Cricetulus griseus: one gene and its partners. The protein of the gene in region 1 interacts with the protein of each later gene in a pairwise test. Links are inferred from orthologs where the notes say so. Each region holds a gene or a part of one and is shown in the gene's direction. Other genes may lie near its edges.

What was found.
Region 2: the proteins of Ndrg4 (region 1) and Mal2 interact in binary tests that used the Homo sapiens proteins (3 or more experiments, as listed by UniProt). The two-hybrid records come from large-scale screens. The link is inferred for Cricetulus griseus from reciprocal best matches to the Homo sapiens genes NDRG4 and MAL2.
Region 3: the proteins of Ndrg4 (region 1) and Rabac1 interact in binary tests that used the Homo sapiens proteins (3 or more experiments, as listed by UniProt). The two-hybrid records come from large-scale screens. The link is inferred for Cricetulus griseus from reciprocal best matches to the Homo sapiens genes NDRG4 and RABAC1.
Region 4: the proteins of Ndrg4 (region 1) and Reep6 interact in binary tests that used the Homo sapiens proteins (3 or more experiments, as listed by UniProt). The two-hybrid records come from large-scale screens. The link is inferred for Cricetulus griseus from reciprocal best matches to the Homo sapiens genes NDRG4 and REEP6.

What each region holds. Positions count from the first base shown.
Region 1 is NC_048596.1:171,897,208-171,900,707, forward strand, and holds part of Ndrg4 (protein NDRG4), read left to right. Parts: intron 1-800; coding exon 801-848; intron 849-996; coding exon 997-1,032; intron 1,033-1,151; coding exon 1,152-1,203; intron 1,204-3,500. UniProt on the Homo sapiens protein: Contributes to the maintenance of intracerebral BDNF levels within the normal range, which is necessary for the preservation of spatial learning and the resistance to neuronal cell death caused by ischemic stress.
Region 2 is NC_048603.1:797,779-801,715, reverse strand, and holds the start of Mal2 (protein MAL2), read left to right. Parts: upstream 1-1,137; coding exon 1,138-1,269; intron 1,270-3,937. UniProt on the Homo sapiens protein: Member of the machinery of polarized transport. Required for the indirect transcytotic route at the step of the egress of the transcytosing cargo from perinuclear endosomes in order for it to travel to the apical surface via a raft-dependent pathway.
Region 3 is NC_048602.1:9,714,295-9,718,581, reverse strand, and holds the start of Rabac1 (prenylated Rab acceptor protein 1), read left to right. Parts: upstream 1-1,487; 5' UTR 1,488-1,605; coding exon 1,606-1,661; intron 1,662-1,833; coding exon 1,834-2,046; intron 2,047-2,285; coding exon 2,286-2,383; intron 2,384-4,287. UniProt on the Homo sapiens protein: General Rab protein regulator required for vesicle formation from the Golgi complex. May control vesicle docking and fusion by mediating the action of Rab GTPases to the SNARE complexes.
Region 4 is NC_048598.1:101,122,398-101,126,585, forward strand, and holds the start of Reep6 (receptor expression-enhancing protein 6), read left to right. Parts: upstream 1-1,388; 5' UTR 1,389-2,715; coding exon of another isoform or gene 2,716-2,820; 5' UTR 2,821-3,086; coding exon of another isoform or gene 3,087-3,266; 5' UTR 3,267-4,084; coding exon 4,085-4,188. Other genes in the region: Pcsk4 (proprotein convertase subtilisin/kexin type 4), read right to left, coding at 2,716-2,820, 3,087-3,266. UniProt on the Homo sapiens protein: Required for correct function and survival of retinal photoreceptors. Required for retinal development.

The sequences.
Region 1 (3,500 bases):
TGCCACCTGGTCACACATCAGGGTCTGACCACCACCCCCTCATTGTGCAGGGGAAGAGGCCTGGTGAGTGGATGGAGCTAAGACTAGGGCCATGTGGCCTGGCATTCCCTCCTCGCTCTCACAGTGTAGCCTATCCCAGTCTCCATACACTTTCAGTTTAGAGCCCAAGGCCTACTTCTTCCAAAATCTAAGCCATAAGTGGCTCATAGACATCAATACTCACCCTGGAGCCCCCCAGGCCCCCAGGGTGGGGCAGTGCTTGAAACTGCTCCCGTTGGCACTCTAGCAGTAAAGCAGTCTCAGTTGCCAGCCCAGGGGTGTTCAGAAGATATCAGACTTTCAAGGGCTCACGAGGAAGACTGCAAGGGCAGGGTGTAGGCTGCACTAGCTATCGTGACCCAGGCAGGGCCCCAGTGTCATCTTGACCCTAACAATGCCCAGATCTCTGGTACATCCTGCTAATGTCACCCTGGCCTTCTGGGTCAAAGCCTTGCCCCATTGCTGCTCCACCTGCGGTTATGAGTGGAATTTCACGCCCCTTAGACCAGCAGGCCTCCAGGGACTTAGGAAGTCCTAGCATGAGAAAGCCTGGGAATGGAAGCCCAGGCCCCTGTATAGTCCTCTTTTCCCTTCCTCCCCTCCCTCCCTCCCTCCCTCCCTCCCTCCCTCCCTCTCCCTCCCTCCTCCCTCCCTCCTCCTCCTCCCTCCCTCCCTCCCTCCCTCCCTCTTCCTGCTTTGGGCACAGAACCTGCCTAAGCAGTGGAGCAGGGGTCTTGCTGCAGCTGTCTCCTTGTCCCCAGGTTGAGTGTAACTCCAAACTGGACCCAACCACCACAACCTTCCTGAAGGTGAGATGCCCCACCCCACCCCATCAGCCCGGTGGCTCAGCTGCAGGAAGGGGTCTGGTGGACAGCATGGGAACAGGGTGGTGTTTGAACAGCACGGTCTGTCCAGGTGTTGAGAGGGACTCAGTTCTCCCTGCCCTTTTCCTTTCAGATGGCAGATTCTGGTGGCCTTCCTCAGGTGACACAGGTAAGACCCCTGGACCTTCTGCCTTTGTATCACCCAGCCTGTTGGGGATGGGGGGATGGCATCCTCCCCACTAGACCTAGGCAGCCAATCAGAGCACATTCCTGTCCATCTTCTTGCAGCCAGGAAAACTGACTGAGGCCTTCAAATACTTCCTGCAAGGCATGGGCTACAGTAAGTACACCTCCACCCACCCTGGGCAAGGGAACGGGGCACATTGCCCGTGTGTTGGGGAGTCTGTGGGTGAGTGTACTCTGTCACCTGGACCCCTGACAGCTGGCCTACTCTCCCTAGACTCTGCATACATTTTAGGGTGTAAGTCCTGGGCGCAGCCAGCCTCTACTTTGGGAGAAGACTCGTCTTCCAGCCTTGAGAGACCAGGAGCATGGCCTGGTGCTATTAGGGAAGCCTGTTTCAGATGAGTCACCCACACCCTATTGGGATTAGGGTACCTCAAAAGGCTCTTTGTCATCGTAGAGGCTTAGTGCCTAGACTCATGGAGTCTGGGACCAGAGAAGGGAATTGGGACCATCTTGGTGTTAGCCTGTCCAAACCTGTGGAAAGTAAGCCTGAGAATCTGCTGGGAACAAGGGCTCTAAAGCAGCTTTCTGGTTCCCATCCTTCCTGAAACATCTCCTCATGTAACAGTGATGAGACTCAGCATACAGAGCACACACACACACCACACACACACACTATGCAATCACACACACACTATGCAATCACACACACACATACACAGATACACACACACACAAACATGCATACACAGATACATACACAAACATACATACACAGATACATGCACATACACATACATATAATACATACACAAACATACATACACAATTACACATATACATACAACCACAAACATACACACATACACATGATTCACACACATACATACACATATGCACAATATAATCACACACATGCACACATACAATTATACACATACATACACACAAGCATACATACATCACACACATGCACACACATGCATATAAACATATACACACAAACATACACACATACATACACACACAAACATACATACACACAGCTTTATGATTCAGGTGGCTCCTGTATACCTCCTGGACCTCTGGTCCCCTCTTAACAGCATACACCTGCTGGGAGGTGAACTGCTCTCCCTCAATTTGGTGCCCTCCACCAAAGACTTCAGCCTCTGGAGCTTGACCTCCTTGGGACAGAAATAGGATAACCCTCCACCCTGCCAACCTCATGGGAAAATGGCAAAGAACTGCAAAGGCAGACAGGACTAGCCAGAACCCTAAGCTGGGCCCCATGCACTCTTGGAGCTTGGCAGACAGCTATGAGGACAAGAAAGAACAACAGTTGTAAGCACTAGTGTGTGTCCTTGGGCTTCATGAGGGATCTACCAGGCATCCCAGGAGTCGGGGAGGGGCTTTGGAAGATGGTTCAGGCTTCCTTCCCTTCATGTGCAAGATTGAGATCTGGTAGAGCAGTGAGGGCTCTGGGTCTAGGATGTGTACACCACAGCCTGGGTTATAGGAGAGGGAGAGGTGAGACTGGTGCGTGGCTTCCATGAACTGCTGTTTGGATAGGTTGCAAAAGTGGGCTTTCTGAGGCTCAGCCCTGGCCCTCACTCGTTTGTCTGTCTCATCTTGGCCCATCTCGATGCCCTTGGCCTGGCTCAATCTTCACCATGTTCTGTGTCTCCCCTACCCTTGCCCTCTCTGGCTGTCTTCTCTCTTAGTTGCACACTTGAAGGACCGAAGGCTGAGTGGAGGAGCAGGTAGCCCCATGGCCCCTCTCCTGATGCATGGATACCCTGCCTAGTCTGTCCTCTCCCCCCTCCCCACCCCCCGCTCCCCTGCAGTGCTGCGGCCACACTGTGTCTTGCCGTGGTTTGGGATCCTCTTGTGTCCTGCTCAGCAAGAAGCCTCAGTGGATCCCCTGCTCTACTGCAGACCCTGGTCTGCTGAGGGCTCTGTTCCATGTTGGAACCTGATGCTGGCTAGTCTCAGAGCAGTTGTCTTGTGTCTAGGCTGCTGTGAGCTATGAGACTTCCAAAGCTTTGGGAGTTAGAAGCAGAACCTCAGACACAGCGCTAGGTTGGCCTGTGCAGGTGTCATGTCTGTCCCTGGCCCAGCCTCTAGGTGGATTGGCCTCACCTATAATAGTAGAAGCAAGATTCAGGGTAGTTTGTGACTGTCTGTGTCCTTCTCAGAAGCAACCCTGCCTCCTACCCTGTCACTTTCTGGATGAAGGTCTAGTTGGACACACAGTGTCTTCCTATCCCAGCTAAGAGTGCCTAGTCAACATGTACCCTCCCTGGCCATAGCTCTGAGTAGCTATTGGGGACCTAGGACCCTGCTGGCTACAGCCCATTTGGCGTGCTCACTGTTGCTGGCCCTGCATGCCTCGGCCTGATGGAGCCAGCGCCAGCGTCTTGGCTTGGGACAGGCCTCTGTGCACATTGTGGC
Region 2 (3,937 bases), on another chromosome or scaffold:
CTAGGTATCCCTAGATGTCCTATTACCGGTTTTGCAGCCTTCTGGTTTCAAATTCAGGGCAATCCTCTGGCCTCATCCTATGAAACGCTGCTATTCCAGGCTTGTGCTGCCATGCCAGGGTTAGCTATTGTTTTTTCCACTGGATCTACTTGTGTGCTGATGTGAGTCATTTAACTTATCTTCAGATGACCTTTGAGAAATGCCCCTTCCTTTGTCCCACTTACAGACATTAACACTGAAACCAAGACTACAATGGGAACGCACGAGGTAAACTGAGGCAAGGGACTCATACATAGCATCCTTTTTTTTTTTTTTTTTTTTTTTTTTTTGGTCTGCTGAGTGTTAAAAGACAGTGTCAAAGAGTACATGTGTGAGGGCTAAATGAAAAGGGTCTGTGTGGAAACGTGATGCGGCTGACATCGTTTGTAGACAGAGCAATGATACAGATCTCGGGATTGGAAAAGTAGCTGCCGTCCTAAAAGCTACAGTTTACAGAGCGCTTCCTGGGCACTGAACTTTTCTGTCCCTCACTGGCGGATATCCTCATAGGGATTTCCCGGAACAGAGTAGGAAACCTCAAAGCAGCCCTCCGGGGACCTACGGCCAGCCATCGACTCCCAAGTGCCACACGACCCTGGTGACATCTTTGAAAATTCCATTACAGTCCCCTTTAAAACAGGCATCCCGCTTTCCAGGTGTGCCTGGCGACTGGCGTTTGCTTTCTGAGTCACAGTCTCTGTCTTCCTGCCCAACTGGGGACAGAGGGTGAGGCCCGGGTGAGAGTGGGGTGGGATGGAGAGGTGGGACCCGCGGGACATTTAGCGCAGGGGCAGCAGGTGATCGCGAGAGCCTGGGCGAGCTGGTGGCCCTGTAGCCGGAGCGCACCGCGCACCTGTACGGGTGACCCCTGCGGGCGCCGGGGCGGGGACGTGCTCACCTGCGCCCACGTGACGGGGCGGGGCTCTGTGTAGAGGGCCCTTGGCCACGCCCTCTCGGCGAGCGGCACGCCCGGACCCCGCGGACCGGATCGGCGGCGGCGGCGCGCGGCGGCGCGGCGGCGGCGGCAAGCCCGGGAGGGAGGCGGAGGCGGACGCGGGAGGCGGTGGCGGCTGTGCGCGGAGACGTAGCAGCGGCAGCATGTCGGCCGGCGGAGCGGCAGTCCCGCCGCCCCCGAACCCCGCTGTGTCCTTCCCGGCGCCCCGGGTCACCCTGCCCGTGGGCCCCGACATCCTGCGGACCTACTCGGGAGCTTTCGTCTGCCTGGAGATTGTGAGTAGGGTAGCAGCGTAGGCGACGATCGAGCCCCGGGGAGCAGGGACAGGCAAGGCAGCATCCTTGCCCCCAGCCCGGTCTGGTCCCCCCGGCGATCACCTTCTCCTGGAAGTGGCCTTTTCCTGCCCACGGTCTCGGGGTCCCCTCCACTCTGTGTCCGGGCCTTTTTGCTTGGCACCTGTTACGCGGCCACCTGCTCGCCGGCCTGGAATGGAAATGTCCCCTAGAGTGCGAGCAGGCAAAGGGCCCAAGATTAGGGACTTGGGCAGGAGAGGGGTGTTAGCGCTTGGAGGAGTCGCGGGGACTGGGCTTTGGACAGGGTCTACGCTTGCCTGGTGGAGGAACTGGCGCCCTCGGCCCCTCCTGTCGCTAACCTGCCATTTTGTTGGGTGGTGCAAAGGTGTACCGATGACTGGGTGGCCAGGAAGCTGGTAGGATGTGGAAAGCCGGGGCGGAAGGCGCCAGGGAAAAGGAGGAGCAGGAGGAGGCTGAAGCCTGGGTATGGTTTTCACCCCACTCACCCTTGCCATCGTCAGTGCCCTTTGGATTGGGGAAGAACGGGGCAGGGAGGACGGTGAGATTGTAGGTGCCGTTGGCAGTGTGTAATCAAGAGGCCGTGAGAACCAACCGTGGGGAAAAGTGGAAGACAGACGTGGGGCTGTCAGCTCCAACTCTCGCCTTTGCCCCTTGTCCATTTTCAGTTTACCTGAGAATTCCAAACCTCCTCGGAGCACCTCGCTTGTACCTAGGAAAGTTGAAGTCACAGGCCCGCCCTGCAACCTTGTGGAACTAGACACTTGAACTTGGGCAAGGAATGCTGTACAGTTGGGAGCTTTCGAAGCTCCTTGTGGACAAGGGGGATGTGTAAATATAAATTGGGCAACTGGGGTTGCATCATGCCCGGAGAATGTCAAATAGAAAGAAATGTTAGCAAGGCAGGGCCTTTCCTGCAGGCGGGTTTTGTTTGCTCCCTTTAGGGTTTTCATGTCACTCATCCTCCTGTGAGTTTGCATAACCTGGATCTGGGTCACTCTGGCTTCCCTTTTGTGCTGTGGAGCTGAAAACCGTGGGAGCCTTGGTTTTCTGCCCCACTATGCTTTGGTAGCCAAGCCACCTTAGGTTTAGCTCCGATTTGAATCGGAAAGCAGAGGCGGTGGCAGCTGGGATCAGACTGACTGTGAGTCTAGAAGACCCTGGTGTGGGTTCGGGTTTAAGCCCAGTACAGCGGCATAGGAATGAGACAGTGATGCTATATATATTAGTCTTGAGATAGGTGTGGTCTACCACTGAGCTCCTAACTTGCCAGCCCCTCGGTGTTGGCCCAAGCTATCCTTCCCTGTTACATATTTACCATATATTTGCCTAAGTTTAATACAAAGTTGATCTTGCAAAACCAAGCCTTTTAGCTCAGGCTGAAAACATTAACACCAAAATTTATCATTTTCAGGGGCCAGGACAAAGGATCAATGAGTAAAGGACTTGTTGCAAAATTGTGAGGACCTGTGTTCAAATCCCAAGAACGCTTGAAAAGCTGCCCTCCGTGGTAGAGTTGCTGCCTAACCTTTGGCTAGAACTTAGCTTCATCCTCAGCAGTAATATACATTGCATCTCAAATTTGATATGTTGGTTATACATTTCTAATAGTTATTCAAATATATTTATACAATTAACTTGTATGTATACATATACATGGCATATATGTATATATATACATATATATATGTATACACACATGTGTATATGGAAACATATGCATAGAAGTGTTGCCCACATGTTATCAAAACAAATGCTACTCAGGACCCACCTGACGGTGTGGCACATTTATGGAACACTAGTTCTGAAGGTGACTTATTGAACTCCTTCTAGCTCCATATCTCCTTTTCCTATCTACCACAGTAGTTAGTTCTTAACTCTGGCTGTATTTAATAACTTGGCAGCTTTGAAAAGTACTGTTGCCAGCCTGGACTAATTAAACCAGTGTCTCTAAGGGAGCACCCAGAGTCAGCTAATTTTTTTTAAAGTTCCCTGGAGATCCCAATACACAGAATAACTGCAACTGACTGATAGTGCCTTTGGACCAGGATCTGCAGAAAGGAGAACGTTTTTTTGTTCATTAGGATGGATAGGAGGATTAGATTCTGGAAGTGTGGGGAAGTATCCCACATACTTCCTGCTTTCTTAGTCTTCTTAGCCGCTCCTCTGGCAACTTACCTAACCCTGACACGGGTTAGACTCTTATCAAAGTAGAGGAGTCTCTTCCCAAAGCCATTTGGACTTGCACGTGTGTGTGTGTGTGTGTGTGTGTGTGTGTGTGTGTGTGTGTGTGTGTGTGTATCCTCGTGCCTGTGTGTTTAAGTGTATATGGAGGCCAGAGAACAACATTGAGTGTCATTCCTCAGGAACTGTCCACCTTTTCTTTTTTAATATTTTGCTTATTTATTGAGGGAACAGAGGGCACACCCATTCCACAACGCTTGTGCGGAGGTCAGGGGAGAACTTGCAGGAATCAGTTCTCTACTTCCACCATGCGGGTTCCAGGGGTCAGATTCAGATTCTCAGACTTGACATTAGGCACTGTTCCCACTGAGTCATCTCACTATCCTTTGGACTCTTTTGGGCATAGGGATCAGGATGAGCAAGATCTCTTACTGGCCTGTAACTTGCC
Region 3 (4,287 bases), on another chromosome or scaffold:
GCAGCTCACAACTGTCTATAACTCCAATTCCAGGGGATCTGAACCTTCACACCAATGCATTTAAAATAAAGTTAAATAATTAAAAAAATAGTTAAGCACCCTGACTGCTCTTCCAGCACCCATATGGCAGCTCACAACTGTCAGCAACTCCAGTTCCAGGAGACCCAACACTCTCACACGGACGTGTATGCAGGCAGAAGACCAATGTACATAAAATAAAAACAAATCATTTTTAAAAACCAGGTGGTAGTGTCACACACCTTTAACCCAAGCACTAGAGACAGGTGAATCGCTGAGAGTTTGAGACCAGCCTGGTCTACAGAGCGAGTACCAAGGGCTATGTAGAAAGACCCTGTCTGGAAAAAGTAAATAAATAAAACAGATGTTTTAAATGAAAATAAAAAAGAGGGTTTGGAGAGATGACTCAGTAGTTAAGAGTGTGCGTGCTGCTTTTCCAGAGGACTAGAGTTCAGTTCCCAGCCCATGTATTTTGAACAGCTCACAATTGGTGGTAACTTCAGTTCCAGGGGGGGGATGTAATACCCTCTTCTGGGCCTCCTCAGGCACCGTCACCCATGTGGCACACACACATAAACCATTTATTTTTAATTCTTTTTGGTTTTTGGAGACAAGGTTTCTGTGTAGCTTTTGGAGGCTGTCCTGGCACTTGCTCTGTAGACCAGGCTGGCCTCGAACTCACAGAGATCCTCCTGCCTCTGCCTCCCGAGTGCTGGGATTAAAGGCTTGAGTCACCAATGCCCGGCAGAAGCCATTTTTTAGAAAAGATATTTTAAAAGTTATGTGTATCTGTGTAAGTACACGTGAGTATGTTTGATTGACTAGAGCTGGATATATACATATATAATATTTTTAAAAATTTATTTATTATACAGTGTTCTGCCTTCATGTATGCTATATGCCAAAAGAGGGCACCAAATCACATTTGTAGATGGTTGTGAGCCACCATGTGGGTTGCTGGGAATTGAACTCAGGACACCTGGAAGTGGAAGAGCAGCCGGTTCTCACACATCTGAGCCATCTCTCCAGCCCCTATAATTTTTGTTTTGTTTTGTTTTCTAAGGAAAGAGAAAGTTAATGAACTCCACCCCAGACCAGCCCAATCAGAATCAGAATATCTGAGGCTGCGGCCAATGTTTTTATTATTATTATTAATTATTTATTATTATTATTATTATTATTATTATTATTATTATTATTATTATTATTATTATTATTATTATTATGCCGTCTGGAGTCAGGATGATAGCTCCGCACCCTCCACGGAATCCCGCAGCTGCCATGCCAACTCCCGGTAAAAACGCCCCATCCTAAGAGCCCACGCTGCACGCTCTGAAACTACAGTTCCCACAATGCCTAGAGGCCCACGCGGCGCTCTTGGCATACTTCTCCCGAGGTGTCTTGCGAGCCCGACCGACCTCCTGACGCCGCAATGACTACAACTCCCAGAATGCTCGGAGACGCAACTACCGCCCCCTAGAGTGCCAAGCGGCGCCATGTCCTGAGCGTCCGGGCTCGGGCGGGGGCCGGCTGGGTGCGGCGGGGCTCGAGGCTGTCCGCGGCGATCCCACACACCGCAGCGTAGACATGGCGGCCCAGAAGGACCAGCAGAAGGATACGGAGGTGGAGGGGCTGAGCGCCACGTGAGCGAGCAGGGTGTAACCCCCCATACTCCCGAGCGTGGGGTCCCAGGCGTCCCGGCCCCCGGGCTTTGCAGAGGAGATGTCCCCCGGGGGCCGCGATGTGCTGGGATCTGGGGTCCGGGCCCTGGGACCGCTTGCGGCTGACCTGCCCCCGCCCCGCCCCGCCCTCCAGGACCCTGCTGCCCAAGCTGATTCCCTCCGGCGCCGGCCGAGAGTGGCTGGAGCGGCGCCGCGCGACCATCCGGCCCTGGGGCGCTTTCGTGGATCAGCAGCGTTTCTCGCGACCCCGCAACCTGGGCGAGCTTTGCCAGCGCCTGGTACGCAACGTGGAGTATTACCAAAGCAACTACGTGTTCGTGTTTCTGGGCCTCATCCTTTACTGCGTGTGAGTGCCTCGGCAGCCCCGCCCTCCTGCGCCAGGCCCCGCCCCCTGTTGCCAGGCCCCGCCCCCCGCCGGTTAGCTAGGCCCAGGGCCTTGTCACCCGAGCACCCAGGAGTCGGTCTGTATTCCTGAATCCACCCGAGCCGGGATGCAGTCTAGCCACCCCATGTGATGCCCAAGGCTAGAGGGAGCCGGCTCACACAGCCTCAGACGCCTGACTCCTGTCTCCCACACTCTTCCAGGGTGACATCCCCCATGCTGCTGGTGGCTCTGGCTGTCTTCTTTGGCGCCTGTTACATTCTCTATCTGCGCACGTTGCAGTCCAAGCTTGTGCTCTTTGGTGAGAAACCCCCCGCCCAAACGGATCCCCAGGTCCCACAGAACTGCAGACCTCCGAATATTTGGGAATCAAGTCGGTCCCACCGAGAGGTGCACTAGAGTCATTAAACTTAGTCCTTAAGGTCGCAGGTGAATACCCTCCAGTCTCAGCTCCCCAAAACCCAGGGAGAGCCCTAAAACCCCGGCTCCTGTGTCTCCTGTAAAATGAATCAGTCCTTCCCAATCCTCCCCGGGGAGAGCATCCGCTGCAGGTACCCACACTGGACACCAGGTGGCGACCGTGTGCAGGCCTAGGTCTGTCTGCCTTCCCATGCCTTCTGTCCCAGGGCTGAACTGGTAAGATACTAGATATTTCCAGAAGGGGAAACGGAGACCTGTCCGCCCACTGGGAAGAGAAGTGTCAGGGAAGACCCACTGAGAGGAAATCCCAGGTTTGCCAAGGAGACCTGTGACAGTCTTTCAGGTCCCAGACAGGTTACCAGAGGAAGATGGACTAGGGCCGAGCGAGAAGAGCCTGAAGCACAAGAGAACTTGGCCTTGGCAGATAGTAGTCACTAGGGCATACACAATTTCCAGACATAGGAGAGCCTGAAAAAAATTGTTTTGAGATAGGGTCTTCTTACGTAGCCTCGGCCTGCCAGGAGCTCACTCTGTAGACCAGACTGGCCTCCAACTCACAGATTTCCCCTGCCTCTGCCTCCTGAGTGCTGGGATTAAAGGAGTATGCAACCATGCCCTAGCCTTACAAAATTTGTTAAGCACCCAGAAGGCAGGCCCTCTGGGAAAGCAGCAAGTGCTCCTAACTGCTGGGCCGTCTCTCCAGTCCCCACAAACCAGATTCTTGTGAAACACTTCAAAGACAGACAGACGTTCTGGCTCATGCCTGTAATCCCAGCATTTGGGAGGCTGAAACAGGATGATTGCTGTAAATTCAAAACAAGCCTGGGCTTCAGAGTCTTTTAAAAAATCAAAATGAGCCAGGCATTGGTGGCGCACTCTTTTAATCCCAGCACTCGGGAGGCAGAGGCAGGCGATCTCTGTGAGTTCGAGACCAGCCTGGTCTACAGAGCGAGTGCCAGGATAGGCTCCAAAGCCACAGAGAAACCCTGTCTCGAAAAACAAACAAACAAACAAACAAAAATCAAAATGAGAGCTGGGCATGGTGGCACACACCTTTAATCCCAGCATTCGGGGTGAGGCTGGTGGATCTCTGTGAGTTCAAGGTCATCCTGGTCTACAAATCGAGTTCCAGAACAGCCAGTGCTATACAGAGAAACCCTGTCTCAAGTTTTTAAAAAACAAAAAATCAAAATAATGGTTTGGAGAGATGGCTCAGTGGTTAAAATTGAATTCTGTTCTTGAAAGGACCCAGGTTTTGTTCTCAGAACCCAATCCCCATGTCAGGTGACTGTCACAAGGCCACCTGTCACTCCAGCTTCTGGCCTCCATGGGCACCTGAACTCTTGTGCACATATGGCCACACAGGGTACATACACGTAATTCAAAGTAATAAATAAAATTATATAAGTTAAAAATAAGAAGACAAAAACCCTTAGGTCATGGACTGGAGAGATGGCTCCGGGGTTAAGAGCACTGACTGTTCTTCCAGAGGTCCTGAGTTCAATTCCCAGCAACCACATGTTGGCTCACAACCATCTGTAATGGGATCTGATGCCCTTTTCTGGCACGCACTGTATACATGATAAATAAATAAATCTTTAAAAAAAAAAAAAAACCCTCTTAGGTCAGACCTGGCAATGGGGCCACAAGGTTGAGAGTCCTGGTATCCAGGCTGGGACATGAGGCTAGCCTGGTCTGAGAGACAAGTGGCTTGGGAGGTCCTGGGGAGGGGGGGATAGAGAGCAGAGCTGGGGCTGAGGAAGGTGGTTTCATTCTGGTTATGTT
Region 4 (4,188 bases), on another chromosome or scaffold:
AAATGACTTAGTCTCTCCCTCTCTATTAATTTATGGCCCCCCCTTGTTTTTTTGGTTTTTCAAGACAGGGTTTCTCTGTGTAGCTTTGGAGCCTATCCTGGAACTAGCTCTGGAGACCAGGCTGGCCTTGAACTCACAGAGATCCGCCTGCCTCTGCCTCCGGAGTGCTGAGATTAAAGGCATGTGCCACCAACGCCCGACAATTTACCCCCCTTTTCCTTTAAGTTTATTTTGGAAGCTTAACCACTTCCACTTTGAGCCATAAAGAAGGGCTGACAGATTTGGTTTTTCGAGGCAGGGTTTCTCTGTATTGTTTTGGAGGCTGTCCTGGAACTCGCTCTGTAGACCAGGCTGGCCTCGAACTCACAGAGATCTGCCTGCCTTTGCCTCTGGAGTTTAAAGGCGTGAGCCACCACCACCCAGCTCCATGTAAAACTTGTATCCGTTTCTAGGACCCTGAAAATCTGTAGCCTTGCACCTGGCTAGAGCCAGAGAATTGCTGATTGTGTGTGTGTAGAAACGGGAGGGTGGCAGGACAGGATAGCAGAACAATAAAGAACACATGAAGAACATGTGTGTCAGGTGGTGTGTAACATCTTTTACCCCTCCTTCGTTCCTGAGAAGCATTTCACCTTTGGAACCTTGGGTAGGGGCTGGAGCAGATCTCCTAGACCTTATAACTTCTGACACTCTTCCTGGGTCAGGACAGCCCTGGCCCCATCCCCATGTCCACAACTTCCACTACCTCCTAGTGTCTGTCTCCTCGTTTTACATTTGTATATTCTCTCTCCCTTCTGTGTCTCTCCTCTGTCTTTCCTTTCTCTCTGTGTGTCTGTATGTATGCGCACCACGGCATATATGGAGGTCAAAGGACAGCTACTGGGGCTGGAGAGATGGCTCAGTGGTTAAGAGCAAAGGCCGCTCTTGCAGAGGATCAGGGTTCAATTCCCAGCATCTACATGGCAGCTCACAACTACCTAAGACAAATTCCAAGTAAATCCTGTGCCCTCTTCGGACCCCCGAGGGCTCCTGCGTGCCTGTGGTGCATCATGGGTAAGCAAGCAGGAGAGACACTAATGACACACGTTAGTCAGAAGTAACAAGTAAGTCTTTTAAAAAGAAACCATGGAGTCAGTTTTCTCCTTCCACTATGTGGATGGTGGCGAGAGCTCAGCCAGACTGAGCAACCATCTTTTTTTTTTTTTTAAAGATCTTATTTATTATGTATACAACATTCTGCTTCCATATGTATCTGCACACCAGAAGAGGGCACCAGATCTCATAAGGGATAGTTGTGAACCACCATGTGGTTGCTGGGAATTGAACTCAGGACCTCTGGAAGAACAGTCAGTGCTCTTAACCTCTGAGCCATCTCTCCAGCCCCTGAGCAACCATCTTTACCCTCTGAGCCATCTCACTGTCTTCTGAGATAGGGTCTCACACAGCCAAAAATGACCTTGAAATCCTGATCCTCCTGCCACCAATGACAGGTGTGCGTTTTCACTATCGCTTTAAGAGCACTGGGATGGAACCCAGGACTGCCTGCTTGCTGAACAAGTGCTCCACCCACTGAGCCTGAGCCCCTGTCCACCTCCCTCTTGGTCCAACATCACCAAATCTATTGCCCTGCTGGCCTCCAGCAGTCAACCTGCTCCTCACTTAGCTACAACTAACAACCAAGAAAGAGCTCATGTGTTCTCTTCCACCCCAGGGCCTTTGCAAGTGCTGTTCTGCCAGCCCAAACCAGCTCAAGTCCCCTCTCCTTACACCTCCAGCTTGGTCTGATGAGCCACACTCCTGGCTAACCTGGCTTGACCTCTCTGTCCATCTACCCCATCCATAGCCTCTCATCTCTTGTTCCTTCTCTTTACCCCATCTATTTGACTTCCTTCTTGTCAAGATTTGGCCTCTGAAAGGCACTTGGTCCCTGTGGTGGTTTGAATGAGACTGGTCCCACAGGCTCTTATATTTGAATGCTCAGTCCCCAGTTGGTTTGGGGAAGTGTGGCCTTGTTGGAGAAGGTGTGTCACTGAGAGGTTCTCTCTGCCTCGTCCTTGTGGGTGAGGGTGAAAGTTCTCAGCCACTGCCCCAGTGTGCCAGTCTGCCTGTCTGCTGCCATACTCCTCGACATGGTTGGTGGTCATGGAATCACCCTCTGACGCTGTAAGCTCCAATAAACTCTTCTTTCTGTAGGTTGCCTTGGTCATGGCGTTTTTGTGTCAGCAATAGGACAGTTACTAAGACAGTTCCTGACACACAAAGTGAGCACCTCTTCAGTGTATCTTGTAAGCCTCTATGGCTTGCACACTCACAAATCCATACCATTCTTTGACTACTGTTTAGGGGCTGTTCCCTGTGAGGACTGATCTAATGTGGATGTTTCCAAATAACACAAAGCACCATGGGCTCCACTCCTGATTCGGCTGCACAGTCACTGATTCAGGTTCTCACCTTGGGCATTGTTTTCTAGTCTGATAAAATGGACCGATTCTCTTCCCTACGTCGTATGGCTTGGAGCAGGGAAGGACCAGTGTGTGAGAACCTCTTTCCTTGAGAAGCAGGGCAGGGGCCGTCAGTATGTGGCCCCCCAAGTGCCATGTTGTGGTAGGTGTCATGCTCATACATGACGTCCCCAAGCAGGCCCCACTTGACACAATAAGAATGACTGAAGGTGGCTGGTTGGCCTTAGGAGATGGCAGCCATGGGCTCACTCACCTTGGGCTCTTTCTTCAGGCGCAGACGGTGGCCCCAGTGGGGGGTCAGGGACTGCTGAGCCACACCCCGGTGCCGTAGATGGAAATAGTGGTCGTCGGGAAAGATCTGGGAATGTGATGGACAGGGGCATCGCTGGGACCTGGCTCCTTTGATACAGTCCCAAGGATGGAGTCCAGTTTCTGCGGCATTATATACCTCAACCAGGTGCCCAGTTGAGGGTCGCAGAATCCCAAATTGAATATGGAGGGGGCACGTAGACACGTTCGTTCTTCATATCCGGGGAGGTCTTGGGGACCCCCTCCCATCTGTCCGGGTCTGAGGTCGTCCAGGTCCCCACCCATGGCCCATCCATCCAGGTCCCACCCACCCACCTGTCCCAGGTTGATGAAGCCAAATTTACGTGCCAGGCGCTCAGCCTCCTGGTAACCTTTGGTCACCCGCACGGCCCAGCTGCTGACATAGATGGGGGCCCGGGGTGAGGCCCACCCCACAGCCAGGAGGGCCAAAGCCAAAGCCAGACCCAGCCACAGCGCAGTCGGGGAGGGCCGCATAGCGGGGGGCGGGGCGGGGGGCGGGGCCTCAGGAAGCCACCCCATCCCGGACACCATAGCAACCCCGAAGCTTTCAACTCCCAAGGGGCCTTGCGGTTCCCTCGTCCCCCATCCATGAGGGGTGGGACTATCCCACATGAAGAGACATCCACACGGACCTAAGCCTTCGGGAGCCTCAGTTTCTCCACTTGTACAAGTGCAACACCTTCTGGTCCTTAGGAGCAGGTTCAGGATCACAGGGATACCCCCAACCATTTATTTGGTCCCGCCCACTTTCTTCCACGCCCCTCCTTAGAGAATCAGCCCTGCCTCTCCACATCTTCCAACCAGCATCGTTTGCTTCCAGTGTAGTCCCGCCTCCTTTATGATCAACTCCGCCTTCTCTAGTCTGTCCAATCAGCGCTGGTCTTAACCTGGCCCCACCCACCTGTTTCTCAGCTAGTCCCACCCACCCTCATCGCTCTCCGTCAATAATCTACGGCTTGTCCAATCAGTACCGAGTCACTTCCTCGTGACCAATCAACGCACCGGCAGCCTGGCGCCCCGCCCCCTCCAGCCTCCCTGTGGCCCGGCGGGCCTTAGCCCTGGCCAGAGGGCGATGCGGCGGGGGAGACGGGGCAGGCCCCACCTCCTTTGTCCGCCTTGCCCTCCCATTGGCCAGAGCCAGGGGTCGGGGGCGGAGCCAGGGCCGGGGGCCGAAAGCAGCGTGTCGGGGGCGGGGCCTGGCCGCGCGCGGGAGGCGAAGTCTGTGCGCCGTAGGCTGGGCCGGTGCGCGAGGCTGCGGGTGTGCTTGAGTGGCCTGCCGCGGGCCCACCGCCATGGACGGTCTACGCCAGCGCTTCGAGCGTTTCCTAGAGCAGAAGAACGTAGCCACCGAAGCGCTCGGGGCTCTCGAAGCCAGGACCGGTGTAGAGAAGCGGTA